Ovis aries: one gene and its partners. The protein of the gene in region 5 purifies or fractionates together with the protein of the main gene of each other region. This does not show direct contact. Links are inferred from orthologs where the notes say so. Each region holds a gene or a part of one and is shown on either strand. Other genes may lie near its edges.

Region 1 (4,527 bases), on a different chromosome or scaffold from region 5:
ATTGTTTGGAATGTGTTATTACGGTGGTTGTGAGGATTAAATGAAAATTACCGTAAAGGGTCTAGCGTATGATAAGTGTTCTGTAAATGACAGTTATGATGACGAAGGAGGGGGCGGGGTAGGGAGAGAAGAGGGGAAGGGAGAGGCCACAGAAGGGGAAGAGGACGGAGCGGCCTGGCACGCAGGAGGTGCTCAATAATGTAGATGCCCACTGCGTGCCCCGCTTTGGGCTTTGCTCATCATCCCTGCTCTCATTTTCAGGCAGAGACGGAGGTCTGTATCAGTGGATCCTCTTCCCCGGCTGAGCCAGGACAAGACCCCCAAGATGCCCCTGTCCCCATCCTCAGGGGCCAGCCTCAGCCTCCATGCCAGCGCTATAGCAGCTGATCCCTAAGGCCAGGGACCCAGGAACCGCACCTCCTTCTCTGAGGCACAGCCTGGAGGTAGGGGAGGTATCTGGCAGCCTCGGCCTCACCTGCACCCCACTCTGCTCTCAGTGACTACGCCCCAGCCCCTCACTGGAGGGGCAAAAAGTGCCTCAGGGAATAAGTGAGACGCCCTCCAACCCTCTCCCACTGGCTGCTACCACGGGCGTCCTGCCCACCACCCTCCTCGAGCCCCCGTGGCCACTTACCCCAGGACCTTCATAGAAGGCACTTTGGGCCTCCCCGGGATTATCCAGGAGGTCATCACTGTCGAGCTGCAACAAGACCCGCCCCCACCCAAGGTCAAAGGTCAGCTGGGCAGTGGGCCGGCCCACACGCTAGAACAAAAACCAATTTCGTGTTACACGGACACAAAGACAAAGACGAGGTGGGGGTGGGGGGGATGCAGGGGGTGGGGGAGGTTCGAGGGGTACGGAAACTCCACCTCCAGAAAAGAGGCCCCAAAGGAAGGGGCTTGGCTGCAAGTTTAAATCCTAAGGAGCCCCCAGCACCACGTCCGAGGCTCCCCGACATGCCTGCCTGGAACTCTAGAATCCTGCCTCCGCACCTTCACCCAAGCAGCACCCCGGGCCTTCACCCTCTGCCTCTTTGGTAACACATCCTGCAGGGCCTGTCACACGTGCCTCCTCCTCCCGACATGTGCCCGTCTGTCCCTTCCAATGAAATCAGTCCTTCCTCTGCACAGCCGCGTTCCTTGGGCGCCGGATGTGTGAGCTGCTCCCATGTCTGGGAGGGCAGGGACCGGTCTCATTCCAGGAGTTATCCTCAATGCCGAGAACAGGCCTTAAGCGCCCACTGTCCACAGTCGAGCTCCCCAGTTTCTAGCTGATCCCCTTCTAGAACCCTAGACTGGTATGGGGTTGGCCAAAAACTTCATTTGGGTTTTCTCATTACATCTTACAGAAACATCCAAACCAACTTTTTTTTGGCCAATTCAACATATCTAACTGCTGCCCTCGGACTTCTGGGGTCTGCTCCAAACTCCCAGTCTCAGGGAATGGTACAACCCTTTTGGTTGCTCAGGTCAAGTCCAGGAGGCAGTCTGGACACTTCTTCACCATCTAATCCACTGTCAAGTTGAGTGACGCTGCCTTCCAGGCACCTCCTCCACCGCCTGCCTTGGGGCCCAGGCCGCCATCCTCCCATTGCACTTGCCTTTGCTCCACAAATTATTCGATACATCCCCTTGAGGAGTGGAGCTCTTTTCCCTCTCTGAGAGTGTGGGTGGGCATGGTGACTCGCTTCCAGTGAATGCAGTGTGACTTCGGAGACTAGGTCATAAGAGGCGCTCAGCTTCCTCCTGGCTCTCTCCCCTGGGTCACTTGCTTGGGCAAACCAGCTGCCACGTCATGAGGATGCTCAAGCAATCCTCTGGAGAGGCCCACGTGGCGAGAAGCTGAGGCCTCCAGCTAACAGGCACAGGAGTGGAAGCAGGCCCCCCAGCCCCAGGCAAGCCCCCAGATGACAATGACTCCAACCAACATCCTGAATGCTACTCAGGGGAGACTGCAAGATAGACACCCAGGCTGCTCCTCCATTCCCAATCCCCAGAAACTGAGAGCTCTAACAAATGTTATTAGAAGTCAGTAGAAGCCACAACGCATTGGGATAACTTGTTATGCAGCCCTAGGTAACGGATACAACCCCTTGTGGCTCAACAGATGTCCCCTCGTCCCCGCTGTGTTCCATTCTCCGGAGTGCAAATAGAATATGCCATGTGGCTGCTTAATAAACTGTCGGAGCTGCCTGTCACATTCAGAATAAAGTCCAAACTCCCCAGTCAAGCTCCTCTAGGCTCTGCATGACCTGGGGATTTTTGTCCACTCCAGTCTCCCCACCTACTAGTTTACCTTTCATCCTGGCCCCACTGGCCTTCTTTCTGTTCCTGGAACGGGTCGGACTTTCCCGCCTTCCCACCTGCTCTCCCCCTGGTCAGAGCACAGTGGGTGCCTCCCTTTGGTCCTTCAGCTTCACCCTCAATGTCGCCTCTCTGCCCACTGCAGCTAACGAAGCCCCTGCCCTTGCCCCCCACCTCCCATTCATTTTCTTCGGATCCTCCTTTGTGGTGCAAAAGTGATGTTGCTATTTCTTCTGCTGCCCGGCGTGGTGCTTTCCACCACTGCCTTTATTAGTCACTGGTTGCTTGTTTACCCAGGAAATGTGTATGGCGTGAGGGCAGGGATTTGCCGTCTCTTTCCCTCTTCGCCGTGAGCTTGGGGCCTGGCTCCTGGAAGGCAGATGTCTACTCAGTGTGGTGGTGGGGGGCTTGACTCACAGCACCCTGCTGCCCTGGGGGATGCCTCGCCCTGCCCAGCACTCACCTTCTCGGATCCATGTAAGAAGTCATTGAGGGCCTGAGGGTCACTGAAAGAGAGAAGGGGAGAAACACTTGAGGAGATGAGGGACAGGGGAGAGGAGGGAGAGTGAGGGGGGAAGGGGGGACGGGAATCCCACTACTCACCAAATCACGTCTAGTAAGCATCTCCCATCCTCATCATCCATCGCCACTGGATGGGGCAGGGCAGGAAGAGGGCGACAGGTTAGATGGTGGCAGCGGGCCAGGACCCTCCCCACAAGGACCATTTCTTGGGGGCCCAGACCCCTGGAGTCTGTGGGCATGGACGGTGGGGGGGCGAGGCAGGACCCTCCCCACCAGCAGCTCTGACCAGAGAGACACGGCTGCCTTTTCCTCCTCCCTCTGTCCCCCCAGCATCCGGTGATGACAACGATGACGTCAGTCCTGACTAAGTGAGCCCTGATCACGTGTGGGCCCCGTGCCAAGTGCTTCACACACGCTAACGCAGTTAATCCCCAGGGAACCCCTCGAAGTGGGTCTTGCCACCCCCCCAGCTTCGCAGAGGAGTTAATGCAAGAGCAGAGACTGTGGTTCTCCGTCTCCTGGCTCACAGAGATCTGGCCCCAGAGCTTGTGTCTGCCTCCTGAGGGCAGGGCTGGCCCAGTGCGGGCATTGGGGGGCTTGTCCTACACGCGACTGGGTTGGGGGGAAGGCATGAAGGGGCTCAGGTTCTGGGTCCCCGTGGAAGACACATGCAGTGCAGTTCTCACGGAGGGAAAGAGAGGGACAGGGACCCAGAGGGTGGGCGCTTGGCGTCAGAGCAGCCGCCGGAGCCCGGCTGAGCCTGTCAGAGCGATGAGGATGAGGACGGCTAACATTTGGCCCGGGCTTATCACGTGCCCGCCAGGCACTGTCCCAAGCATTCCACTAATGTTAGCTTGTTCAATCCCCATGGGGAAGGGTACTGTGTGTCCCATTTTATAGCGAGAAAACTGAAGTTCTCTGTGTTTGCCATCCCCCCAACCCTCACCTAACCTCCCATTGCTCCAAACATCCCACCAGGCTTCCAAGTACCCATCTTGCCAAACTTCCGCCTCACGGTCCATCTCTCCTGTCTTCCAAACACATCCAACTGATCCATCCATCTGCCCACACATCCTTCCCTCCCAACGATGCAGACAGGACCCGAGAAATCACACACAACCCCAGCCCAGAGCCGTGGACTTCTCACCCTCTCTTTTTTTTGTTTTGGTAGGGAGAGCAGGAGTGGTCCTGAACTCACTGAGGAGGATCTACCCCTCCCTACACCTCAAAACACACAAAATCTCACTTGTGCCCTCAGCTGGGTCATGATTCCTCACTCTGACAGATCCTCTGAACTTCGCAATCGCCACTCCAACCCCCAGTAACCTCAACGGCTCTGTGACAGCCTCGGGAGGAAGCCCGCGTCACTAGTTTAGGGTCTTCTCTGAACTGTGCCTTGGAGGGTCTGATGAAAGCAAAAAGACCCTCTGGCCAGAAACACGCATGTGGGCCAGATATGTTACGCGTACTTCTGCATGGGACATGCACACACATATGCACACACGTACACATTTCACGGGCCCCGGGTTACAAGGCCAGTCTAGAACAGAAACATCCATCTTCAGGGCCTCACACGCCAATCACCCTCCCCTCTAGAGCTGGCCCTGGGCACGGACCGCAGAGGGGCCTTTCCCTTCCAAGACTCTGGCTGCACCAGGCGTTGGTACAACATACTCTCTCTGGCTTCACATCCCCGCCCCC
Region 2 (4,527 bases), on a different chromosome or scaffold from region 5:
TCAGAGTACCCAGCCTTTCAAATGCAAACCAAGAGGGATGGGAGCCCTGCGCGTTACCTAGGGCTGACTTCGCAGCAGCTGAGGCCACTCGAGGGTCGACGACAGAGGCCAAGAAGGCAACGGTGCTCATCACGGGGTTGCCTGACTGGCTGAAGGGGATGGGCTGGTAGGCCAGGGGGCCCAGGGAGGCCTCTGAGTCCTCCAGGTACGGGTCTTCGATGGGAAGCCGGAGAAAATGCAAGATGCATTCATCCTGTGTGCGGCTTCCCACGTGCTCTGACACTTTGTTCCAGTCATCTTTGTACATTTCCAGTGCCTGGTGGTGGTGGTGGAGACACAACCTCACTTACTCCAGTAGCCACCTCCCTCAAAGGTCAGCGTCCTCAACCCCGCTAAGCAGAGCTGCTTCAGAGCTCTCTGGGTTGTGATATTTATATACTCTGCCAGGCCCAAGGGGAATCTCCAAGTAGCACTTGGTAAGGACAGGGGACTGACAAAATGGTCTCAGTCCCTGCCCGGCAGCTGGCCCCTGGGGGAGTATATGATGGGCGCTGGGAAGGAGAGAGACAGGGCGAGGTCACGCCCTCCCCACTCCCAAGTGCGGCCGGCACCCTGGCCACTTCCCTTTCACAGGACTCTCCTTCCCTGGCCCCAGTTACCTCCAGGAGCAGCAGGGTCTCCTGTTCCGTCCACTCTCGAGTGGCACTGGCTGCGGCTTTGCTCTGCAGGGGAAACACGGGTGGGTCAGCAGGAAGAGCCTGCAGCCTTGCAGGAGGAGGAGCCCCGACCCCAGGTGCCCACCACCCTGTACCTTGGAGGGGACGTTCTTCTTCGTGTACATGTCTGTGCGCAGACCGAAATTCTGCATGTCTGTCGGTTTCTCCTTGCCTTTGTCAGGGAAGTTGAGCATTTGCTGGGAAGCAGAGTTCTGCTATTTGTGGAAGGGAAAGAGAGAGGTGACTCCGAGTGACTGCCAGGAGCCAGGGGCAGACAGAGAGAGAGGACAGACAGAAGGGGCTCCCTTCCCACAGCCAGGGACACCCCTGCGTGGACTTCCTCACTGCTGTAGCTCCTCTGCTCTCACGGCTCTTCTTCCCGGGCAGGGGCCCCCCAATAAAGGGGCAAAGAAGCAGCCCAGCGGGGTCTACACCCCACCTACCAGCTCTGGCTTGCCCTTAGCCGTCTCTGGCACCAGGTCATCCAGCTCTTTGCCCTTTCGCCCAGCCTTGGTATCAGCATCAACCTGGCGGCCCTGGGGGACAGAGCTTGGTGTCATGGAGGCTGGGCACAAAATGACCAGGCTGAGGCCCTGGAGGCCTCAAGACCAAATGCTGGGCAGCCCGAAGCTCGGGGGGCACTCATGCCACAGTTCCGTATTCCCTGAGTGGTTAATTAGACCTGGAATTGGCATGATATCCATTTGTATTCACATGTATCTTTACGGGTTCTCTTAGGAGCTGGACAAGTAGGTTCTAATCCTACATGTCTGACCCTGGGCAAGCCACATAACAATTTTTGTAATGTATGAAATGGAAATGGAAAAAAATGGAAGTGATAAAAATTATGAAGCAAAAATGAAAAAATGCTGGAAACGTGACAAGGTTAAAAAATTTCATGCAACTGAATTGTAAGCCATTTTTCTCTATCTGCTCCATCCCCTACATTAGCCTGTCTGCTCCCCGAGGACAACAAGCATCTCTTCTCCCTCAGCAAGTCCTTGCAGTCTTAGGTACAAAGGCTGAGAGAGGGTGCTAAATACATGGGACTGATTCCTGTGGCCCTTTGCATCCCATGGAAAAGGAAGAAGCCTCAAACACTCCTGAAACATTACCCTAAAAAACCAGAAAAAGAAAAGTCCAAAGAAGCCCGTCTGCCCAGTTCCACCCCGTCCCCGCAGCCCCTCACGCTACCTGCGGGGTCTTGGGCTGCAGTGGCACCAGCCCGGATGGTGTGTCTGCCAAGACGTGGAAGTGAGAGGTGGGCGGAGGCCCCATGGGAGTTGGTCGACTCTCGGCATCCACCTGGTAGTTAATGAGACCCCACTGTTCTAGGAAGGCATGGACCCTGTGAGGAGAGAGGCAGAGACTGGGTCACACACGAGGACAGGGCCGGGGGCACCCTCTTCTCTGCTCCTTCTACTCCCTGGGAGATACGGCTTCCTGCCAGCTCCTACACACCAGGGACAGCCAAGTCCCCATGCGCACCAGGGCCTCTCTCCATATCCACCCATCAGCTAAACCTTGCTTCCTGCCTCTCTCACCGGATGGGCTCCTTCACTACAGATGTGCTCCTTCTTCCTCCCGCCACACTGCAGAGAGCGCCCTGCACCCCCTCAGTCACCCTGACCCAAGCCTGAACTTGGCCTTTCTCTAGCAGTGTCTTTCCTGCTCATCCCCTATGCTCCTTGCCAGCAGCCTCTCTACTTCGACCAAGAGGCATCTGTGAGCATCGTCCTTGAGCCTCTGCCACCCCTCAGCTGCAGACCCACCTCATGATGGCACAGACGTCACCCGCCAGGTTCCTGCGACAGGCGGTGGACGTGAGATACTCCTGGGGGTTCAGCCGGTAAGTATCAATCATGAAGTTCCGATAGGCCAGGTAGCTGAGAAGAGAGAGATGTGAACGGTGAGAGGGCTGAGGGGTAGGGAAAATTGGTAAGAGAAGAACAGCCTTCATGTGTGACAGAGAATGCCTCATCCAACTCAATACACACTGCGGGTCGCCTGTGTGCTAGACATGAGGGGTTCAGACCCTCGATGGGATTTTTCGCTAAATGAGTTATCTCCTTGGCTGTGTGTGCTTGGGGATGTTTCGTCCAACTCTTTTTTTTTGGCCATTCCACATGGCTTGCAGGATCTCAGTTCTCTGACCAGGAACTGAACCTGGGGCCTGGCAGTGAAAGCCCAGAATCCTAACCCATTAGGCTAACAGGGCACTCCCTCATCCAACATTTGGAAAAGAAATCAAAAAGAGAAAGTGCCCTTAATTCCAAAGGCAGATGTTAAAGGGAAGTCCTTAGGGGTGCCTCCACCTAGTTAGCAGGGCACAGCCTTAAGAATACATGTTTTGAACGTGGAAAGGTCTACGTTAAAATCCTAGTTATACTATGATGGTCTTAAATTTTTGAAACTTAGTTACCTTAACCGTAAAATGAAGTGTCTGTTGAGAATAGAAAGGTCTATAGAGATACAGAATAGTGCTGGGCATGCTGTACAAGCTCCAAAAATGGCAGCTATTGTGCGGCGTAACGTAACGTTTGAGAACATGAGGCAGACTACAGGACTCAGACCCCAGCTTTATTACTCACGAGCTGTGTAACTATAAGCAAGTGACTGACGCCCTCCACACCTCAGTTTCCCTGTCAGTAAACTGAAGATAGTAAGAGCTACAGCTAAAGCTGATGTGAAGATTAAATTAGTCAAGGTATGTAGGATACTTAGGATAATGCCTGGGAGATAAAGGGCACTCAACACATATAGGCCATTATCGTTGTTTGGTATTTTACACCCAGAGTGCAAAGTGTAAAGAGTTCTAGTTCCAACTCTGCCTGCAGATCAAGTGGAACTCATGTCATCTGTCACTACTGCCTCTGGAGAGAGCAAGGCTTCTTTATATACTGCTTTCCTCAGCAAGAGGAGGAGAAGAGAATCATACCAGGCTGTGGGGAAAGAAACACGGTGGAAGGACCCTGGAGCAGGGAGATGGGGAGCTGAGGAATAGCTAGGAAGCCAATGCGTTCAGTCCTCAGGGTGCCTGGGCTCAGCACTAGCTCCCACCTGCCCAACCGTATCTATCCTGGAACATTCTTAACCACAGAAAACCACCAAACTAAAGCCAGGCAGGTTTGGTCTGAGGAGGAGCCTCGAAGGACATGAAGATGTCTGAGCCCCAGGCCCAGACTTTACAAAACACATCTCTCCATCCTTTAATTCACAGACTGGGTCTTAATAGTTCTTCTTCCCATTTTTTTCTGTCAAAACCTACTCTATGGGACCAGTAATAGTCAGTTACACTTTAGCCAAAGAGATTAATTATGCTGGAGATATTTGCATTTTAGACAGCACAGGTAAGGCTGGATGGAAAGCTCTAAACCCTGTTAAAAGAAACAGAGGGAGGAAACACAGCTGAGCCCAGGGGGAAGCAAATATTTGTTTTGAACAGAACAGCAAGCTTTACACAGCCCCCAGCAGATCCCAGAGGCAGTGGTCACAGTGCTGGGCTGGAGCTGCCTGTGGGCAGACAGCATGTCTCCGTGAGCCTAGCACAGGGCCTGGCTCATGTAGGAAGCTCAAGAAGTGTCTGCCCACTTGGATCAGGAGGAGCCAATGGGGACAGGAGGAAGAGAACCACGAGCTACAGTGTCTTACATTTCTGGAGTCTTGGACTTGTTCTTGCCATTGAAGAACTCAGGGAGAGCCCTCCGTTCGATGGCGTGAACACTGCAAGAGAAGCCAGGGTGCGATGAGAAGGCTCGAGTGGAGAGATGGGACCCCAAAGATGAGAGATGGGACCCCAATGAGAGGAAAC
Region 3 (4,527 bases), on a different chromosome or scaffold from region 5:
CATCGGAAAAGTCAGCGCTGGACTCCTGGGGCCTGACTTGATTGGGGCCAGCAGGCCCAGATGTCATCTACTGAGAGGCCAACTTTGCCTGCTGTGTGTCCCTCATGGGCACCCCCACCCCAGAGGACAGCAGAAATCTCCCCCAGAGCATGCAAGGCTCACCCATCGTGCAGCAGAGGCCGGGGCCTCTCAGGGATCTCAGAGGGAACCAGTCAGCAGGCAGGACAAGAGTCCAAGCTTGTTTTACCACTTTGAGCAAGAATACAACCTTCCCTCCTTTCATATCCCGAGGAGCTGGGTCGAAGGCAAGGACTACCCACCCACTCGTGAGGCACTCACTGTCACAGGCATAGGGTTTGTCCCGATCCTCCAGGATGGAAGCGTCCAGCTTCTTACGGGCACTGCCCACACCTTTACTCTGCAAAGAAGAAGAGCCCTTAACTACGGTGTCTGGGCCTGAAGAGTTATTCTCTTGGTAGCGGCTGCTAATCTCATTCAGGAAGGATGATGGCAACAAGCAGCAGTAAGACAGTGGGACTCTGCAGGCTCCCCAATCCCCTGGGCTGCCCCTCACCTTGGACTTCCCCTTGCCCCGACGCTTGGGAGTGTCTTCTTCATAGTCCTCATCATCAAGGTCATCCAGGAAGTCATCTGGTTCTAGGATCCGCTGAGTAGACAGGAGGATTAGGATGGGCAGAAATGAGAACATCCAACAGCTCCCCCACGTTGGGACTGGCCAAGGTTGCCAGAACCGCCTCCGTGACCCAGCGGCTCCACTCCAGCCTCACTCCTCACTGCTGTTCTTTCAAGGCTTTGGGCTCTCCTTCCTCTGGGCCTTTCTTCATGTTGTTCCCCTAGTCTGGAATGCCTTTTCCACCATCTCCAAGTAGCTAAATCAAACGCCACGTTTTCATAAAACTTTCCCTGATACCCCAAGTGGCATGCCCTCTCCTGCCTCTGATCTGCCACCTGGGAGCATGTCAGCAGTGGTTCCCTTCCAACACCTAACATCCCAGAGTTAAACTGGAGCAATGCTGCTTACTTGAGGCAGGTTTTTCCTTTTTCCTAATGTGCTGTAGCGCGCCACCCCTCCTTGTGAAATGGGCAATGGTACCTATTTCCTAAAATTGTAGAGACTGTAGAAAATGATGGAAAAGCGCTTAGCAGTGCCTGACATATTTTTACGTACAGTTTTCGCTTCCTTGTTGGCAGAGACATCACCTAGGTAACCCCAGGCACTAAAAAAACTCGGGTGGCAGCAGAAGATGAGAGTCTATAGTTACTAGAAAAGGAGCAGGCAAGACGGGATGGTGACAGTGCAGCCCGTCAGTACGCAGTGCTCACTAAGGAATGGAGCAGGCAGAACAGCAGGGGCCCCTCCTGGCCCATAGCTCTTGCTTCTATCCTGATTACTGGGTGGCCTCGGATGAAGAGGAGACTGGTTTCCACCACAGTTTCCTTAACCATAGTGTTAATCGTGTACCTTCCGTGCTCGGCTGTTCGTCACAGGAAACTCGCCCAGGCTGTCATCATCCACTCGGGGATCGGGGGCGCCTCGCTTCTCCAGGGGGTCGGTGCGTAACAGAGCCTCTAAACTACTGCCATCCTGAGAGATCAGCCCCTCCTTCTTCAGGGTCTGGTCTGTGTCTGCGGGCAAGGTCAGGAGGAGGTGAGGCTCACAAGGGCTGAACGCAGATCTGCCTGACCTACAGTGTCAGACCAATCACAAGCCAGTCACTGTCTTCTGGTCTCTGGCTGCCCAGGAACCAAGATGCTTTCATTTACTTGGCACCATAACTTATCTGTTTACTTGTCTCTTAACTATTAGACTGAATTCTTTACAGAAAGACTCACATGTCATTCATTTTAGTATCTTCAAAATCTAGCACTGGGCCTGGTATGTAACAAGTGATTAGCAGGCCTCTGACTATGCAGCAGGGTATATCCCGCTCAGGGAGGACTGTGCTTCACCTGGTTTAATAGATGGGAAAGAAAGCCTTGGATCCTCAGGAGGGTGGGCTCGCCGCTTTTTCCGCCAGCGCCGGGCAGGGTAAGAGTACAGCTGCCCAGAGGCCAATCCTAAGGAAGGAAGGAAAAGAGAGAAATCAAACCCTAACACAGCTCTAGAAAATAGTATCAAACACTTTCTACATGAGTAGCGTTCTAGAGCAAGGGAGGAATATGGATGGTAAGCACCTGGGGCTGGAGGAGGCATGGCTTATGGACAAGAAAACAGATTAAGCTCAGGAGCCTTGGCTAACACATAGCTCTCCAGAGCCCAGCAAGACCCTGAGCAGTGTAGCCCTGTGGACAACAAAAGGTGTTTCAACCTCTCCAGGCTTCTAATCACGGGAAGACTGTATGCATCCCTGGGTGGAAAGCAACAGGGAAAACCTATTCAGCTGGCTCATCACCTAAGATGAGGAAGCTGGTTCCTCCTTGGGCTCCTGAGTGGATTCTCACCTGGACCCCGATGTCGCTTTTCCATCCAGATATAACAGTTGCTCTGGGCTACTCCCGTCTGTGAGTCCAAGAAAGGCAGGCGTACGCTGCGCTCAGCACAGAGGCGGGCGTTGTAATTGTGGCACTGCTCCATGGCATCTTTGTAATACTGCTCCCCAAGGCTTCAGGAAAGACAAAACTCAGGTGTGACTGCGCACGTGTGTGTTTATGTGCTGGGCTATCCCTTTCCCTTGCCATCTGCTTCTCTAGAAGGCTCAAGGGACTGGGAGAATGTCACTCTGCTTTTATTTGCTTCCATTTCTGCCTCATGGGACACCAAACCCCTTCACTAGGCCATTATGAGGAAAAGTACCTTACAAATAAATTACCGTCAGAGCGCATGATTGCACCCTGTGTCTAATCAGTCCTTAGTCTAACCCACAAAGAGGGGAAGAAAATAATGTTTGTTCTGTGCCTCTCGTGAATCCAACACTTTGGTAACCAAAGAGCTACTTATCTTAACCCTCAGGATTCTGAGAAGCTGAAGTTACTCCTGTTTACAAATGAGAAGAGTTCAAAAGATCTGGGGGGACTTACTAAAGTTTATCAAACTCCATCTATACAAAGAAATTCAACTTAGCTATAAGAAAAAAAGGAAGCTCTTCATGTACAAACATTAAACAATCTCCAAGATAACTACAAAAAAAGGGGAGGGGGTACAGGGCTGAGCAGTGCTATGGGATGTCCCTAAGTGGTGGAAAAGAAACTGTAGGAGTCCAAGGAGAAAAACCAGGTGACTAGGGGACTTTCTCCTTTGTGCCATTTTATATCTTTTGAGTTTTAAACTAGGTATTTGCAAAGTAGCTAATTCTATATACTAACTTTGCAATCAATATAAATCATTTGGAAATATGTGAACACCCTTGAAGCCTACTTTCTACTGAGTACCATTACACTGATACAAAACCTGTTTGCAGAAAGGCCTATTCTAGACCCTTCTCCATTCTCACACCAACAAATTTTTTAAGAACCTTTTTGAACTCAAAAGACCTCCTTTGAAATTTGAATTTTTTAAGAGTGATTTCACTTTGACTTTTCACTTTCATGCATTGGAGAAGGAAATGGCAACTCACTCCAGTATTCTTGCCTAGAGAATCCCAGGGACGGGGGAGCCTGGTGGGCTGCCCTCTATGGGGTCGCATAGAGGACTGAAGCAACTCAGCAGCAGCAGCAGCAGCAGCAGCAGCAGCAGCAAGAGCTTTAAAAAGCTGCAAAACTGCAGTGCCAGGAGTAATCTGGTTCTAAGAAGCATGTATACAGAACCAACCTTGTTCTCATCCTTCAGGGTTTAACAAGCACAGTAATACTAGAGCTTAAACTAACACAATTCACATTTATATATTCGAGCAAACTTTTTCTTTCTTCGCACTACGTGGCTTGAAGGATCTTAAAGTTTGCCAACCAGGGATTGAACCTGTGCCCTTAGCAGTTAAAGCGCCAAGTCCTAACCACTGGACCGCCAGGGAATTTCCCTTGATTGATCTTAAAGTAAACAAACTGAGGGCAGATGATTTCTTTCCCACAATATCCTCAGCACCCATGAAGGTGTCTGGAATATCCTGACTCAGAAGTAAAAAGATCAGGCTTGGCTGCAAGTCACCACATATATGGACATTTAGTCAACCCACGTGGATCTCAGGTATGCTATTGACTAGGGAGGCTGAACTAGATAAGCTCTGACATATTCTACAAGAGGGAGACTCCAAGCATGAGAAGTTGAACACAGTAAATCTCTGTCGTTTATGTTCGTAACTCAAGCTGCAGCAACAAACCCTGCTCTGGAATCGAAGAGGGGCTTTCATGGGGCAGCCACTGAGGCACAGCTTAGAACGTTCCCAGCAACCAACAAAGACATACACTGCACGCAGGCAGTGACATCACAAGATAGTCTGGCTTGATTCAATGTGCTGTAATGACTGTAATTTGAGGTAGGCATGAAGCCTGTGCTGGAGAATAAAGAGAAGGAATAGGCTCATATTTGCTCGCCTTTAGGAGGCAGCCATGTCCTCACTAAACAGAGGAAAA
Region 4 (5,134 bases), on a different chromosome or scaffold from region 5:
CTTTAAGAAACAGTACCTCTCAAGATCAGGAAAGATGAAAGATGTCCTTCCCTTTAAATTGAGCTGCTCTCCCAAAGTTTAATTAACAAAAGAAAGTGTTAACAAGATTTAACATGTAAACAAAGAATGACGCCAGCCTTCCTTAGAACACTTAAATGTGAAATTCTCTCTCAGAAAGCCTCCAGTTCTCAAAGTTTTCTCTTACCCCCTCTGATAAAGATCCCACATTTGCCACTCAATAAAAAGCTCAGTAAAATAATTTCAATTCTGCAAAGCGAACAGGGTCAAAATTACTCAAGACAAACGCATCTTCAGAGCCATCAAAGAAGTCATTTATACCATCAGGAAAGTCACAAAACCAAAACAAACAGCAAACCCATTGTAGAGAAAAACTCAGCTACTGTTCGGACAACACAGAATCTATTTCAGGCTGCATAAAACATAACAAGCAAAATAAATCCAAGGTACAAGCAAAATCCCACTGCCTCCTCTTTTGTTCCGGGCACAATGTAACAAGGGCAGCCTGTCTGGGGCTCTGCTCCTGCTGATACAGTATTGCTGCTTAAATCTCCCTCCTCAAGGTCACAGCCAATTTCAGCTCTGGAATAAAAGGCAGATAGTGGCAGCGATGGTTTGGGTTATCACTGGCAGAAAAGCAGAGTGTAAAAGTTTATGAGCTCATCAGGATTGTTGTACCATTACATCAGAGGCAATTATAAATGGCCAAGAGCAGGAGATGGGGAGCCAATCAGATCACAGATAGGATGTCAACCTAAGACCAACTGTCTCCTGGCTTTGACAGAAGGATTTTACCTCCATAATTCAAATCCCAAACCAAAGCAATCTGCACTTACTACTCCAATCACTCAGCTGTTTACCAGCACTTCCAGGGAGAAGCCCAGGCCACTGGGCCGACGGAGACTAAGACAGGAGACGACCTGGGCTGCCCAGGGTGAACCGAAGCCGGGCTCTAGCTGCTCCCAAGCAGGCCCCTGCCCTCCCTCGAGGTCCCCCCGAGCCCGAGGGGCCCCCTCCTTGAAAGCACAGATGGGGACCGGCCTAGAGGAAGGTAGGGAGGGCAGAGAGGAGCGGCAGGTGAGCAAAGAACTGTTCACTCAACTCCCGACCTCCGAGGGCTGCCTACACCCCTAACCTGAGCCCCCAACACCCCCTCACCCCGGGCCGGGCCCTTTTCCCGCACACCCGGCTCCGCACCCCTCTGAAGACCCCCCGGAGCTGGAAGGGACCCGGGGAGGAGGAGGAGGGGAGCAGACACCTCAAGGAAAGCCCCACACAAAGGCTGAAGGAGGGAAAGAGAGGAAGGCAGACGGGCAGCCATTTTAAGAGAGAAAGAGCGAGACAATGGCAGCTCCCCAGCAGTGGGGGCCCCAGACTGGGGGTAGCCCACGGCCGTGGCCCGCTCCCCGCCGCCGCCATCCACTCCCAGGACCCCCCCGCCCCACTCGCCACAGCCCCCCCTACCCCACCAGCCGTGTTACCTGCGGGGTCCGGGCGAGCGGCTGCCCCCCGCCGCCGCTGCTCCCAGGGCTCATGGGCGCGTGGTGGCTCCTTTGTTGGGCCCCTCCCGAGGCGGCCGCGGCCGCCGCCGCCGCAGCAGCAGCAGCCCCCCAGCACTGAGAGGCCATGTCCGCCGGGCCCTTGCCGGCGCCCCCGTCCTGGGGCCCGCCGCCGTAGTCGCCCCCGGGGTAGCCCTGGTAGCCCCGGGCCGAGCTGGGCGACGTGAGCAGTTGGTTGAGGGTGGGGGTGGCGGTGGGCTGGGGGGTTCCCCCTGCGGCCGCTGAGGGGCCGCCTCCCCCCATGGCCCCGAAGCGCTGCTGAGCGAAGGACGAAGACGACGAGGAGGCGGAGGCGCTGGAGGAGGGAGGCGGCTTGGAGCCGGCGGCCGCCGCCGCCGCCGCGCCGGAGCCCGGAGTGCCACCTCTCGGGGAGCTCAGCGCGTAGGCCTGGGGGGGCGGGGGGTAGGCGCTGCGGTTGGGGTAGTAGGAGTTGTACTGGTGGTTGGGGAAGCCGTGGTCGTGCGAGTTCTGCTGGGGCCCCGCGTAGGGCTCCAGGCCCCCGCCGCCGCCGCCGCTCTGCAGCGCTGCCAGGCCAGGGCTTTGTTGTCCGCCATGTTGTTGGTGGAAGACGGCGGCCGCGGCGGCGGCGACGGCAGACGGGCTCCGGCCGTAGGGTTGCCCGAAGCCGTAGGCTGGGGGCGGCAAGGCGGCCGCGGCTGAGTGAGGAGGCGCCCCCACCCCGTCGCTGCTGCCGCCGCCACCGCCGCCGGGCGGCTCCGTGAGGTTATTGTTCAGGGCGGGCCTAGGGCCCGCGTTCCCGTTCGAGTTCTTCAGGTCCGGCTCCGCGCCGGGCCCGCCGGCTCCGCCGCCGCCGCCACCCCCATTGCTCTCGGCCCCGTCCTGCAGCTCCTTTCCCAGTGGCTGCGGCGGCCCCACGGCGGGGCCCTCGCTTTCCTGCCCGGCGGCTGCCTTCATTTCCCCGCGCTCCGCCGCGACCGCCGCCGCCGCCTCGCCCCCCGCCTCCTCCCGCTGCTGCTGCTGCTGCTGCTCCGCTTTCTTCAGCTCCGAGGGCGGCGGCGGCGGATTGCCCAGGCTGCTGGCGGCGGCGGGGGCGACCTGCGCGGCCATGATCCCCGCTGTCTCGTCCGCGGAGAGACCCGGCCCTGTCTTCGTCTTCTCTCACCCCCCTCCCACCCCACCCCGCCCCGGGGCCGAGTCCCCCCGGGCTTCCCTCCCCACCCGCCCGGGCGGGCCTCGCGGGGCTCCGCGGCTTTTGCGCTGCGCTCGCTCGCTCGCTCGCTCGCTCGCTCCTCTCCCCCCCGCCCCGCCGGCTCAGGCTCCGGGCTGGCGGCGGCGGCGGAGGAGGAGGAGGCGGCGGCGGCGGCCGAGGCGCCGGCGGCTCAGCTGCTCCCGGCTCTGTAAGCTCGGGACCCGGCTCTCCCGGCTCATTCCCCCCCAAGCCCTTGCCTGGGAATGAGGGGGGCGGTGGAGGCTCCGCTCCCCAGGGCCTGGCCCCGCTGTGACTCTCCGCTTTCTGCTGCCGGAGAAAGGAGGGAGGGAGGGAGGGGAGGGAGGGAGGCGAGGGGGAGGGGGCGGGGAGGGAGGGAGGGAGCGGGGGGAGGGGGACCCGGGACGGGCGGGCTGGAGGGCGCGCGGCAGCAGCCCGGGCGCCGGCAGGCAGAGTCGGAGCGTGGGCCGGGCCGGGCGCCCTGCCTCCCCTCCCCGGCCGCGGCGCCGGGCCGAGGCTGCTGCGCGGCGGCGAGCGGGCGAGCGGGCGGGCGGCCGGACTGAGCGGCTAGAGCGCCCCACTCTCCTCCGAGTCCCCCTCACTCCGACACGAGGCTCAGCACTGCCATTTTACCCAGCGCCGTCGCGGCCGCCTGGCAAACCCGGAACGGAGCGCGGAGCGGGGCGCAGGCCGTGGAACGGACTCGCTCCCTTCCCCTCACAAAGGAGGAGGGGAGAGAACCAGCCGCGGCGGCGGCGGCGGCGGCGGCAAGCGCTCTGCCGCTCTCGCTCGGCAGCGCCGCCGCCGAAGGCTTCGGGGAAAACCCGGCCCGGAGCTCGCGCCTCTCCGGAGCCTGCGCGCCGCCTCCCTCCTGGCCTCCCTATCCAGGTCGGTCCCCTTCGCGCCGCGGGCAGCGTGAACTTTACTCGCGGCTGCAAAATTGGCCTGAGCCCGAGACCGCGGCCGCCTCGGCCCAGGCCTGACCCCCCCTGGCAGCGGGCCTGGTCTCTTGGCCGCTACTTAGCATCTCCGCGGCACTTTTCCTTCTTCAAAGCCTTTTGCAGACCTGCTCCAAAGACCCAGCTGAGCTTTACGTTGTATCCTCTTTGCAAGCTGCATGGAATGACAGATCATTGTTTCAGACTTTCCGTTTTCCCACTCTCTGCCCTCATTAGCCGGTCCTCACAGGCCCTGGGGGCACGAAGTTCCTGATCCCCATTTTACAGACTCATAAGATAGCGAAGGGGACCGGCCTATCACTTAGTCTATCACTTACAAAGACAAGGGCAGTGGAGGGTGACTTTAAAAAGTAGCAGAGTCCCCAGTGCTGCCCCTGTCTACTTAGCGTTAGAAATAATAGTAATAAAAAGAAAAGTGGTGCCATATACAACAGTGGGATCAGAACATCAGAATGGGTTTGAGATTCAAGCTGGTCATCTCAACCGATATAAAATGGTCACCCCTGAAGATATTTTGGGGACATATGACCGCCTTCTTGGAGGAAGACACAAGCCCCACCTTTGCCCACAATGACCAAGGTCCCGTCTCCAAAGACAGTACCTGTAAGACTGTAACAGACCACAGAAGAGACTCCAGGGACTGGTGGAACCTGAGTGTTCAAAGGAACCTCTGCCGAAGAGGGATGACCAAGTAGAGGGAACCGTTTTCTCCTTAAAAAGAGAGAAAAGGTGCAGTCTAACACCTCACTCAGAAAACAGATGCAGCCTAAATTTGTTTTTCTATCCTTCATTGTAAGGAATCATTAAAGTTTACTGTTACATTCTAAGAGATGCTGAATGGGAGATGCTGAGTGAACTGGAGGTATACACAGAAAATTCTAGATTCACAGGCTCCACCACATCTCAGCAGCAGCCTTGTCCTCTGACTGACTTAGAATGCTCTGACATGACAGGCTACACAGGCCAGAAGGGATACCGGCTTCTCACGAAGCCCAGGGCTGCCTTGAGAGATGCTAGGTCAGCTAGTCATTAGACACCAGGGTTTCATCCCCACTTAAATATTGTAAATAGATGCTTCATGGCCACAGAACCATTACCTTAGAATTTCCAGATTCCGCAGGCCCCTGGAGGTTTTTTGGCTGTGCCACTCACTGGCCACTGAATAATTCCCCAAACCTGAACTCATTCTTAACCCCCAGAAAACCTAATATCATCTTAAACTAAAAAGGCACAAACTTCTTAAGACTCTAAGAGTGGTGTTTTCTTCGCCTCAAGCCAAGAACCAAACCAGCCTACCAGAAACTGACTGACTGGAATGGACCAGTGCCCTCCTTTCATTCATAGTCCTCAGGGGCAACAACTCTCCTGGTGCATCAGGTCCTAGAAACCAAATTATAGGCTGCCTCAGAAATGGAGCTTGGCTATTTAAT
Region 5 (4,981 bases):
AATGGGGAGTGACTGCTAATGATAGGGTTTCTTTCCGGACTGTTGAAAATGTTCTAAAATTGATCAAAGCATTAACAGTAAAACTTTATGAATATACTTAAAACCACTGAATTGTACACTTTAAAACAGGTGAATTATATGGTATGTGAGTTATATCTCAATAAAGCTATTCTTAAAAAGAAAGGAAAGTTAAAAAAACTAACCAACATAGAAAAAGAAATACCAAAAAACTTTCATATCAATCTTACTGAGAACACTCTGAGGTCTTTCCTTTATTCTGATAGTCCATTATACACTGAATAAGATGGTTATTTTCATCCAGCATCTGAAATAAAAGTAAAAAAAGTTTATTGTAAGTCTCATGCATCAAGTAAAATAAAAAATTAAGATTTCTATAAAAGTTTATCTATACAGGAACTGACTCCACAGTTCTTTTTTATACCTACAATATAGCTCTGCATAAAAGATCTTATTTTATATCTTTGGGATGTTATGTTTAATCAACAATTTCTTTTTTTTAACCACTGCCACCCAGCTTGTGGGATCTTAGTTCCCAATCAGGGATTGAACCTGTGCCCCCTGCAGTAGAAGCTAATCTGTCCTAATCCAGAATGAAGTAAACTGATGAAAACTTCAGCACAGGAGGCTTAAGGAGATAGCTGGCTAGCTTCCAAGTTTTATGTTGATGTTCAGTCACTAAGTCATGTCTGACTCTTTGAGACCCCATGGACTGCAGCACACCAAACTTCCCTGTCCTTCACCCTCTCCCAGAGCTTGCTCAAACTTGTGCCCATGAGTCCATGATACCATCCAACCATCTCTTCCTCTGTCGCCTCCTTCTCCTGCTGCCCTCAATCTTTCCCAGCAGTTTTATGCAGCATGGTTTTGTGACTTTCCAAATATGCAATAATTCCAATAATTTCTCGGTAAGTACTATATTAACCACAGACCCTATGAGCCAACCTTATAATTGTCCCAAAAGTTTAAAAACAAGCATATATTTATCATACTATGAAAACAATTCAAAGCAAAACTGGCTTTAAGGATTAAATAATGCATCTAAGCAGAGTGGTGCTGAGGAAAAAGCACTGATGTAGCAATTAAAAGGCCAGTTTTACTGTCAAGCTATCCTGAGCAAACCACTCAAGATGTCAAAGGCTCAGATTTATCAAGGGACAGGAGTAGATGTTCCTCCTCAAACCGCCCCCACCCTTCCAGGATTTCAAAGCTTTAATACCATAACCACTCTTTCTCATTAATTTAGTTAATGTAATTCTTTTAATTAAACATGAAGATCCATTTAAAAGTGTGACTTCTTTTCTGCATATGAATGTCTTTACTTGGTGGAAAAAAAAAACATTAACATGCCCTTCAAAAAAAAAATTGCAGTTTTCTTCTTATATCTACTCATCAGATGCCAAAAAAATTGTCTTTAGAATGTGTTTTAATACAATCTCCAATCTAATGATTTCACAACCTATCTTCTCAGTAGATTCCACGGTTTAACAATCTTCACCATTAGAACGTCTGGGTTTGTCTTGTATCTAACGTCATTCCCTCACGCTATACAATCAGGCACTTAATGTGGGATCCTTTTTCTCTCCTGAGCTGAGGATGAACACTTTAACTGATCAGCATCTCTTTAGTTAGTCACCCACGATAAATTATCTTAAGATGTAGGTAAGAAAAATTCTTCATAGGAAATACAAACTCAGAACTTTTCTACAGTCCAAAAAGTGAAGCCTTCCAGAAACACGTTTTGTGTACGTGTACTCGTAGCTGTTTGCCAGGTCGCAGACTTCTCCCAGCACGCTATACAAAAAGCACTGCATTTTCAGGCAATGCCAAGCGTGTCTCTTCATAAATAAAGCAACAGTTGGGCAAATGTCAAACGCCACACTGTAAAGAGCCTGAGAGTCAACAGAAGCCTATTAACATAAACTACTAGGCATACGATGGTGTCTTGACAAGTCCTGAAAGTTGACTTTTTTTCCGTTTTGATCTTTATTCCGGTGCATAAAACAAAACCAAACTATTTAGGGTAAACTGCAAAATTTAGCAAATAACTTTACAAACTCTGGTTCACTAAAATTCAGAATGCTGCAGTGCTCAAAGGCAACAAGGGGCAGAAAACAATAAAGAAACCTTTGTGTCCCCAACTAGCAAGTAACCGCGGCCACAGCGCAGCTCCCCGCGTGTGTATCACGTCTTCTGAAACTGATCACGAGGCTCAGACTGTATCCATCACTCGACCCTAAGCTCCCTGAAGGCAGGCAGGGACCATGCTCACCACCGCAGCCTCGGCGCCTACGCTTGGCGCTGCAGCTGTAAATCGGTCGGGGGTGGATCCGGAGGGGAGAAGCGCCTCCGAGAGAACCCCGAAGTCTAGAGGGTGCTCCCTCGTCCGCCTCGGAGCCTCGGCCGAGGTTTCCCGCAGCATTCCCCAAGTTCTGCTGAGAGCTCCCCAACTCGGCTGGAGTTTGCAGCCGAGCACCGAGAGCAAGCAGCGCTCCTACTTCTCCTAGGCCCACCCCGGGGACCGCGGTGGGGTCGACCCGGAGCGGCCGCCGCACCGCGCGGGGCGGGGCGACGCCAAAGTAACTCCGGAGCGACGCGCGGATCGCGGGGGGCGCGGGCCTCGGAAAACAGCCCTGCCCCGCGCGGCCGCCGCCGCCGGGCGCACGCGCCCCGCCGTGCGAACGCCGCCCCATCCCCAGAGAAATCGGGCGGCGGTTACTAGGGCTTTTGTGCCCGTAGGAAGGAGCCCGAGGGGGCGCGCAAGACTCCGCGAGGGGAGCAGTTCGCCCCCTCCGCCACCCACTCGGGCGCAGCCCCGCGGCTCAGGTTCCCACACCCGCCCGCCAGCCCAGCAGGCCCGCCTCCGCCCCCGGCGCGGCCGACAAGCCCGGCCCGAGCCCAACCCCCGGGTTCCTCCTCAACGCGGTCCGGGCCTGGCATCCCCGACGCCGCGCGGCTTCACCTTCTGAATCGCGGCGGGAGTGATCTCCCCCTTGCCGCGCTGCCTCGGGGCCGCGAACGCCACGGACATGTTGCCGCCGTCACCACTACGGGTAAGTCCCGAGCGCTCCGGGTGAACGGCAAACTGGGGGAGAGACGCCGGCCTCTCGGGCCGAACCACGTCGGGCTCGCGGGGAGGGGGGATGCTCCGGCGCCCGACGGGCAGCCGGCCTGCCCCGCCTGCGGGAGGAGCTCTGGCCCGAATTAGTCCGGTTTCTGCGCAGTACCTGGGAGCCGCGGTCCCCGCAGAACGTCCCTGTTCTCGGTCGCCCTCCGGTTCCTCCGCCTGTCCTTCCCCGCCACCCCCGGCCCTCTGCGCTCGTGGTAGGGCCGCGCCCCAGCCCTCCCTCCGCTTCAGCGATTCAGGAAATGGTCCCGCCGCCCGCGGGAGAGGGAGCGGCTAGGGCAGCCCCTGTCACAGGAAATGCGAGCGCTCGAGCCGGCCCGCCCCCTTCGCGCGGGGCCACTTGCCTCCCTCTCCGCGCGCCCGGGTGTCCCTCGGCGGCGTTTCGGCTCTCCGCTCTAGAGCTCGAGCAGTTTTGCCAACTTCATCTTCAGCCCCTCCTGGGTAGAAGTGGCCGCCCCGAGCTGTGCGGGTATCCGGAGAGGGGAGGAGGAAGGTCAGGAACGGGGAGTTTCGTGCGCACCCGTGGAGCATCTGCTGAGACCGGGCAGGGGTGGCCGGACTAGGGAAGCGCCGATTCGCTGGTTTGAATGGCTCGGCTACGCCCCGAAGTGCGCACCTCCGAGTCCACGGTCTCGTGCGCGCACACAGCCCTGCCGAACAATTAGAAAGTAAGCGCGACCCAAAATCGGGAAACGAAGGCTATGTCCTGTACTTCATGGGCAGTCGGCCAGCTTGGCTGCAGCGGCCAGAGTTCGCCTCTTAGGATAAACCCTTGAGGGAAATGTGGGTCAGTTTCATCTGACTTGCATCTTTGGAATTAGGTTTTGAAATAGGGCACCCTCGCGCTTTTCTTTTGCAATTATGTATTTAGTGGCTTGCTTGTACATGAGGCCCAAGCTAATCAGTGTGAGGGAAAAAGCCAAAAGTTTCCAAATTGTGGAAGGGACATGGGCAAAGGTCCGTAATATGTTGGTGCAGGGTTTGTTAATACACAGTAAAGTTAAACTTTCATGTAACAAGAAGGAAAAGTTTATATAAAAATGTCACCCAACATTAATGAGGCTCAGAAATCAATCCCTTGGTTTATATATAAAATAAACCGGAAAAAAAAAAGAAAATTTCCTTATTTGAAAATATGTCTCAAGTAAATGCTCTTCACAAAAAGGTCATGAGTTTCATTCATTCAGCAAATTTGGGTTCTTTTTATGTGCTAGCCTTTATTGTAGGCACCTGGGATACAGCTGTGAACAAAATGGACCCAGTACCTGTTCTCAAGGAACTTAAACTCTGATAGGGTTCAGAGACCAGAAACAAGTAAATAGGAAGGCAAGCAAACTGGGAGACTGACAGAGGCACTCAGGTGGTTGTGATGGGAAGTCCCCTTGGTTATATTTAACCTGAGACCTACAGGATAAAGAGACTCAAGACATCCTCAGAATAAAAGTAAGATGATTTGTACTTCTGCAAATAGTAGTTTCTTACAGGAATTGTCTTTCACTACCCTTAGCATTGACAAGTAAACTTGGACATAATGCAAACACATCAATTTGGAAAACCTATTGATTTCAGAACAGAAGCTAAGTCTTGTCCAAAAGCCTGGCTTCCATGGTGGTGTGTTGATGTTTACACAAATGTGCTTTAGTAGTTGAGAATATCTCAGTAGGAGAAATGAAACTCTTACTGCTCCACTTCCATCTGCTAGGGAGATAGCATGGAAACTGTAAAAGAAGGACGTGAACCAGTAGCAACACTGAATTCCTATAGCCGGGCAGGGGGGAGAGTGCCAAGGTAGTAACCAGAGACAGGTAGTTCTTTTGTCTAAATTACAGCTTCCCA
Region 6 (4,527 bases), on a different chromosome or scaffold from region 5:
AGAAGAGTCACCGCACCTAGCCACCCAAAGCCAGTGGTGAAGGGCGCCTCTGTGGCTCCATTTAACACAGCGAGGCCTAGGCAGGAGACTATAAAGCCTAGAAACTGGCCCAAATCTAAACATTCAAAAAGAACGCCTCCTTTTTTTGTTTTTAACCTCACTGTAGAAATCCTTATGAAATAGGAACTTTGTATGTGCACATATGTGTATTGTGTGTGTTTGTCTAAATGTATACGTGTGAGGTTTATTGCTTCATGTTCTTATGTTGTACTTTTATTTTTCTGGGCATATGTCTCTCTCTGTCCAAACCAAAAGGCAGTTAGCAAAACAACGATTGTATTTCTGAACATTTAAGTTGATAGAGCAAGGCTTTAGCCTCAATTATTTACTTGTTTTTAATCCTGAAAAAAGTCTTGAAGTAAATACTCGACCTGTTTTAAAATAATTGAATTAAAAGTTCATGAGGCAAAGTGACTATGTTTTAAAAGACTCAAATGAAAAAAATGTTTGAATTTTGTTTAACATATGTTAAGATGTTTAAAACAAAGGACACTGAAAGATATGCAGTCCATGGGGTCGCAGAGTCAGACATGACTGAGCGACTGAACAATACGGTATCTTCAGGAGGAAAAATAGAAGATTCTGATTTTGTCAAGGTGGAATAAGAGCCTCTGTGTGTGTGTGTGTGTGTGTGTGTGTGTGTGTGTGTGTGTAAATGTATCCTTTTGTTACTTTTCCTCTGAAGCTGCTATTTGAGAATGTTAGGGACCCTTCCAGTCTCACTATTTGCTCTACCAAATAATACATTTCCTTTGAGGAATCAAAATGAAAGTCAGATTCTCTCTCTTACCCCCTCACCCTACCTTTCTCACTCTTATCCATGTTACAGTGACTTAGAATCTTCTGAACCCTGGCACTATACCTCTGAACTGAACCTATGGCTGCAGAGAGAATGTTTTAATATACCTGTCTGTGAGGACTGGTTGGGCCCGTCCAGTTGAAGTTCTAATTTAGGTTTAAATAAATTGTCCATTGTCACAACTCAAAAAATACACAAGTTATTTCCTTTTTAAGGAGAAAATATTTGATTGCATTTGACATGAAACCTTGAGTAATGAGCTGGGAAGACTATAACTGTAGAGATTAAGACATAGTTGTTTGATGAAAAAGCTTTGCTGTGTTCCCTTTCTGAATCAGTTTATATATAATTTTATATAAATTAATATATAAGTTTACATCCAAGCGTTTTCAGTTTTTTTTTCTAATCAATAGACCATTCCAAAGTCTTGCCTTCACGTTCTGCCCATCAGAGCTCTAATATGGAGTATCAGGCCACGCACTATAAGCCACCACACCTTGGTGTGGAGATAATGTAATGGACAGGGGGATTCATACTTGTCTACAGAACAAATCCAAAGAAGCTGTTCTTCTGTTCTACTTTAGGCCACCATACATTAGGTCGCCTGCTTATCCCAGCCAGTCTGGGGCTGGCGGACGCCCCATGTTTTCTTCCCAGCACCCCAACTATGGCAACTCTCAGGCTCCCATGATGCACCAGCCTGACCAGTACGGGTAGGTAGCCACACACCCTGACTTGCTGCGGGACCTGGGCATTTGTTTAAACTGTTAATGAACATGCCATCTGGCTGCAAAAGGAACACCCAAAGCAGGAGCGTGAAAGATCCAAGAGAAGGTCCATCTCAGAGGGGGTTGTCTTTTGTTTATTTTTGTTTGTTTTGGGTTTTTGTTTGTTTTGTTCTGTTTCGTTTTCTCATCCTCCCCAGCAGTACTGTGGTAGTTTGGTAGAGACCTGCATGTCGCCACCCCACCCCCCACCCCCGCCACCCCCCCAATTCTGTCTCTGCATGACTTCGGCATGGCTTCTTTCCTTCGTGCCTGAGAGGGAAACAAAAACTTTTATCCATGTAAAAGTAATGAAGTCACCTGCTCCGGCGTCATGTCCCCCACCGTTGCTGTCGTGTTGTCTAGGACGTGTGTTGTGCAGCACTGTTACCATGACCGTGTCACTGTCATTCCTGCCACAACAGCGGCCAGCTTCCACACCCGCCCTGAATTCAGAGAGCAGCAGGCGCATTGACGAGAGCCCCACGCAGGAGGCAGGGCGGAGGTTATTAATAGGACTTGGGAGGGTCTAGTGACATCACTGAGCAAACATCTGCGTCAAAGATTTCTATTCTTTCCTTCTCCCAAAGGAGGATTAGAATATCAAAGTCACCGGGAAAATATAACCAAATAATCCAAGACAGGATTTTTTCCCCCAAACACAGTGTTGCCATATTATTATCAGTTTCAACACAGGAATTACATACAGCAACAAAAAGTATCTCTCTTCTTTGCTGCTACAAAACTGTAATATCAGGCTGTCACTGTCTTTAGGTTAGTAAATAATCTTAAAGTATATTATTATTGCGTATTTAAGCAAAAATATTGTTAGTGATCTTATTTAACATATAGTAATGATGAAATTATCTCCTGTAGATTGAATTGTGTTCAGGAGCTACTTTCAGTAGAAAGATACAACATTTTTGTAAAATAAAAAACAGGGAACAATCAACTTTGTTAAAAGACTGAACTTACATAATTGTGTTTTCACTACTTATTAGGAATGTATGACACAGCTTTTTAATGTATTAGGCAACAAGTGCAAATGATAGTTTTGCCATTGAAAGTTCTAGATCCTGTAAACACGGTCCTAATTGTCCCAACAGATAAAGAGTTCTGTAAACATAATCCTAAAATTGAAATAAGTATGGAATGAGGTAAACATACTTATTTTGGAGAAATTGCCTTTCATCTTTTTTCCTTTCTTGTGCTATGTTCAAGGTCACTTCCTGAGTTGGTAGGAAGATAAGAGGGGAGAAAAGCATTTATCATCAGCTGCTAATCCATAGGCTCTGTCCTTTACCAACTCAGGAGTCCTATTTAGACCCACAAAGCTAGTTTGGCTGGGCCTTGCCAAGCCACATTAAGCAGCTGTGTAAAATGAATTTAAATGGCATGCATCAGAGTAAAATCTCTTCCACTGGGGCAGAAAATCAATGTTCGCCAACCAGCACGAGAAGATCAGATCTGCATTTCAGCCAGCAGCATCCAGATAGCTTCCTCAGAATTCAGCACCTCCTCCTTAATTAAAAATAAGGAAAAGAAAGATGTTGGCGTGAGTCCGTAAATTGTATGAAACCCACTTGGCAAAGGCTCATCCTTACAGCCCCATTCCTGTTAGCTCTGAATTTTGCCATTTGTATTTATACTGTTCTTTCTGAAAAAGAAAGTTTTATTTCTATTTTAAGTCTTCCTTCCTTTGCAATATATATCCTGTTGTGCCCTCCCTTTTTTTTAAGCAGAAGCTTGATTGTGAGAAAGCATGTGTAGTACATGTTTCAGTGCTGGCAGTTAGGAAATTTGATTTTCAGCATTGTTTTTGCTTTACCTAACACCTCCTCGCAGCAAATTGTGTTTTTGCTTTTGTTTTCTTTCCTCATGGATATCTCTGTGAGGTTAAAGTTAGGTTGGCAACTTGAAAAAGCAGTTCAGTAAATGGCAGATTTTATGGAAGAAATAGCTCAAACCTTTCAAAAATATAGTATTCAGAATTTGTTATAATGTCTTCTTTCTCAAGTCAGAATCCCAGAGGGCCTAGAGCCTATGAGGGAATCTGAGAAAGACAGATAGTGATGAAGGGAGGGAGTGAGTGTGAGAGAAAGAGAGTGTGTGTGTGTGTGTGTGTGTGTGTGTGTGTGTGTGTGTGTACATTTAGAGACAGAAAGCTAACTGCAAAAATGAAGGATTATGGCAGTTATGCTTCAGAGTTTCTCAACTAGTCAGATATAAGATAGTTTAGAGAAAAAAAACAAAATATATTTAACTAGTTTTATTATTTCCTTTTTTAAGAGTGACACTGAATAAGTTCAGAAACATATGGATGAATCAATTTTTTGTCACCTTTTGAGTGAAGGACTCCCTCATTTTGATTTTCAGACAATTTACAATAGAATGTTATGACTCTTACCGTTCAGTTACTAGATTAGCTGCATAATACTAGCCAGTAAATTGAAATGAACAGTTTGTATGTCATATCTGTCCAGGCTACCCCCCCATACACACTTGATATACTTTTTACTCAGAAGATGCCTTGCTGTATTCATTTTTAAAACATTTCTAGATAATGTTCTGCTCTTTTGAAGCCATGAGAAGCAGAGAGTGGGAAATACAAGTTGTCATACTAAAAGCCTAGTCAGAGCTGGCAGATGACGTTCATATTCAGTCCAATTCTGACGGCAGTGTGTAGCATCACTTTGGAAGAATTCTGAGACATTGTCAAAGCTCAGGCGAGCCAAAGTTGGCCAACAGTTTAAGAAAGATGTTGACTTACTGGTTCTAAAGAAGCATTTCCATGAATCCCAAGCTGTAACATAGTCCTTCATATTTGTTGAATGATTGACCTCTGTGCTTAACACACATATACACACATGTGAAATCAATTTTCCTCAGTCATTTAGTGTGTTT

Evidence for each region.
Region 1: the proteins of SS18 (region 5) and BICRA purify together in Homo sapiens (affinity purification with mass spectrometry; 3 studies listed by BioGRID and IntAct, counting the BioPlex papers as one, with this or other methods). This does not show direct contact. The link is inferred for Ovis aries from reciprocal best matches to the Homo sapiens genes SS18 and BICRA.
Region 2: the proteins of SS18 (region 5) and SMARCC2 purify together in Homo sapiens (affinity purification with mass spectrometry; 3 studies listed by BioGRID and IntAct, counting the BioPlex papers as one, with this or other methods). This does not show direct contact. The link is inferred for Ovis aries from reciprocal best matches to the Homo sapiens genes SS18 and SMARCC2.
Region 3: the proteins of SS18 (region 5) and DPF2 purify together in Homo sapiens (affinity purification with mass spectrometry; 4 studies listed by BioGRID and IntAct, counting the BioPlex papers as one, with this or other methods). This does not show direct contact. The link is inferred for Ovis aries from reciprocal best matches to the Homo sapiens genes SS18 and DPF2.
Region 4: the proteins of SS18 (region 5) and ARID1A purify together in Homo sapiens (affinity purification with mass spectrometry; 7 studies listed by BioGRID and IntAct, counting the BioPlex papers as one, with this or other methods). This does not show direct contact. The link is inferred for Ovis aries from reciprocal best matches to the Homo sapiens genes SS18 and ARID1A.
Region 6: the proteins of SS18 (region 5) and ARID1B purify together in Homo sapiens (affinity purification with mass spectrometry; 4 studies listed by BioGRID and IntAct, counting the BioPlex papers as one, with this or other methods). This does not show direct contact. The link is inferred for Ovis aries from reciprocal best matches to the Homo sapiens genes SS18 and ARID1B.

The regions. Positions count from the first base shown.
Region 1 is NC_056067.1:54,357,306-54,361,832, reverse strand, and holds part of BICRA (BRD4-interacting chromatin-remodeling complex-associated protein), read right to left. Parts: intron 2,954-4,527; 5' UTR 2,949-2,953; coding exon of another isoform or gene 2,908-2,948; intron 2,811-2,907; coding exon of another isoform or gene 2,794-2,810; coding exon 2,768-2,793; intron 2,674-2,767; coding exon 2,598-2,673; intron 701-2,597; coding exon 635-700; intron 1-634. UniProt on the Homo sapiens protein: Component of SWI/SNF chromatin remodeling subcomplex GBAF that carries out key enzymatic activities, changing chromatin structure by altering DNA-histone contacts within a nucleosome in an ATP-dependent manner.
Region 2 is NC_056056.1:163,367,827-163,372,353, reverse strand, and holds part of SMARCC2 (SWI/SNF complex subunit SMARCC2), read right to left. Parts: intron 4,440-4,527; coding exon 4,368-4,439; intron 2,603-4,367; coding exon 2,489-2,602; intron 2,065-2,488; coding exon 1,911-2,064; intron 1,253-1,910; coding exon 1,160-1,252; intron 932-1,159; coding exon 812-931; intron 723-811; coding exon 660-722; intron 317-659; coding exon 58-316; intron 1-57. UniProt on the Homo sapiens protein: Involved in transcriptional activation and repression of select genes by chromatin remodeling (alteration of DNA-nucleosome topology).
Region 3 is NC_056074.1:39,986,706-39,991,232, reverse strand, and holds part of DPF2 (zinc finger protein ubi-d4), read right to left. Parts: intron 2,625-4,527; coding exon 2,464-2,624; intron 2,080-2,463; coding exon 1,972-2,079; intron 1,648-1,971; coding exon 1,484-1,647; intron 668-1,483; coding exon 575-667; intron 419-574; coding exon 340-418; intron 1-339. UniProt on the Homo sapiens protein: Plays an active role in transcriptional regulation by binding modified histones H3 and H4. Is a negative regulator of myeloid differentiation of hematopoietic progenitor cells. Might also have a role in the development and maturation of lymphoid cells.
Region 4 is NC_056055.1:240,200,665-240,205,798, forward strand, and holds the start of ARID1A (AT-rich interactive domain-containing protein 1A), read right to left. Parts: upstream 3,409-5,134; 5' UTR 2,646-3,408; coding exon 1,500-2,645; intron 1-1,499. UniProt on the Homo sapiens protein: Involved in transcriptional activation and repression of select genes by chromatin remodeling (alteration of DNA-nucleosome topology).
Region 5 is NC_056076.1:31,045,098-31,050,078, reverse strand, and holds the start of SS18 (protein SSXT), read right to left. Parts: upstream 3,090-4,981; 5' UTR 3,072-3,089; coding exon of another isoform or gene 3,050-3,071; coding exon 2,981-3,049; exon of another isoform or gene 2,570-2,980; intron 326-2,569; coding exon 249-325; intron 1-248. UniProt on the Homo sapiens protein: Appears to function synergistically with RBM14 as a transcriptional coactivator. Isoform 1 and isoform 2 function in nuclear receptor coactivation. Isoform 1 and isoform 2 function in general transcriptional coactivation.
Region 6 is NC_056061.1:81,525,551-81,530,077, forward strand, and holds part of ARID1B (AT-rich interactive domain-containing protein 1B), read left to right. Parts: intron 1-1,443; coding exon 1,444-1,572; intron 1,573-4,527. UniProt on the Homo sapiens protein: Involved in transcriptional activation and repression of select genes by chromatin remodeling (alteration of DNA-nucleosome topology).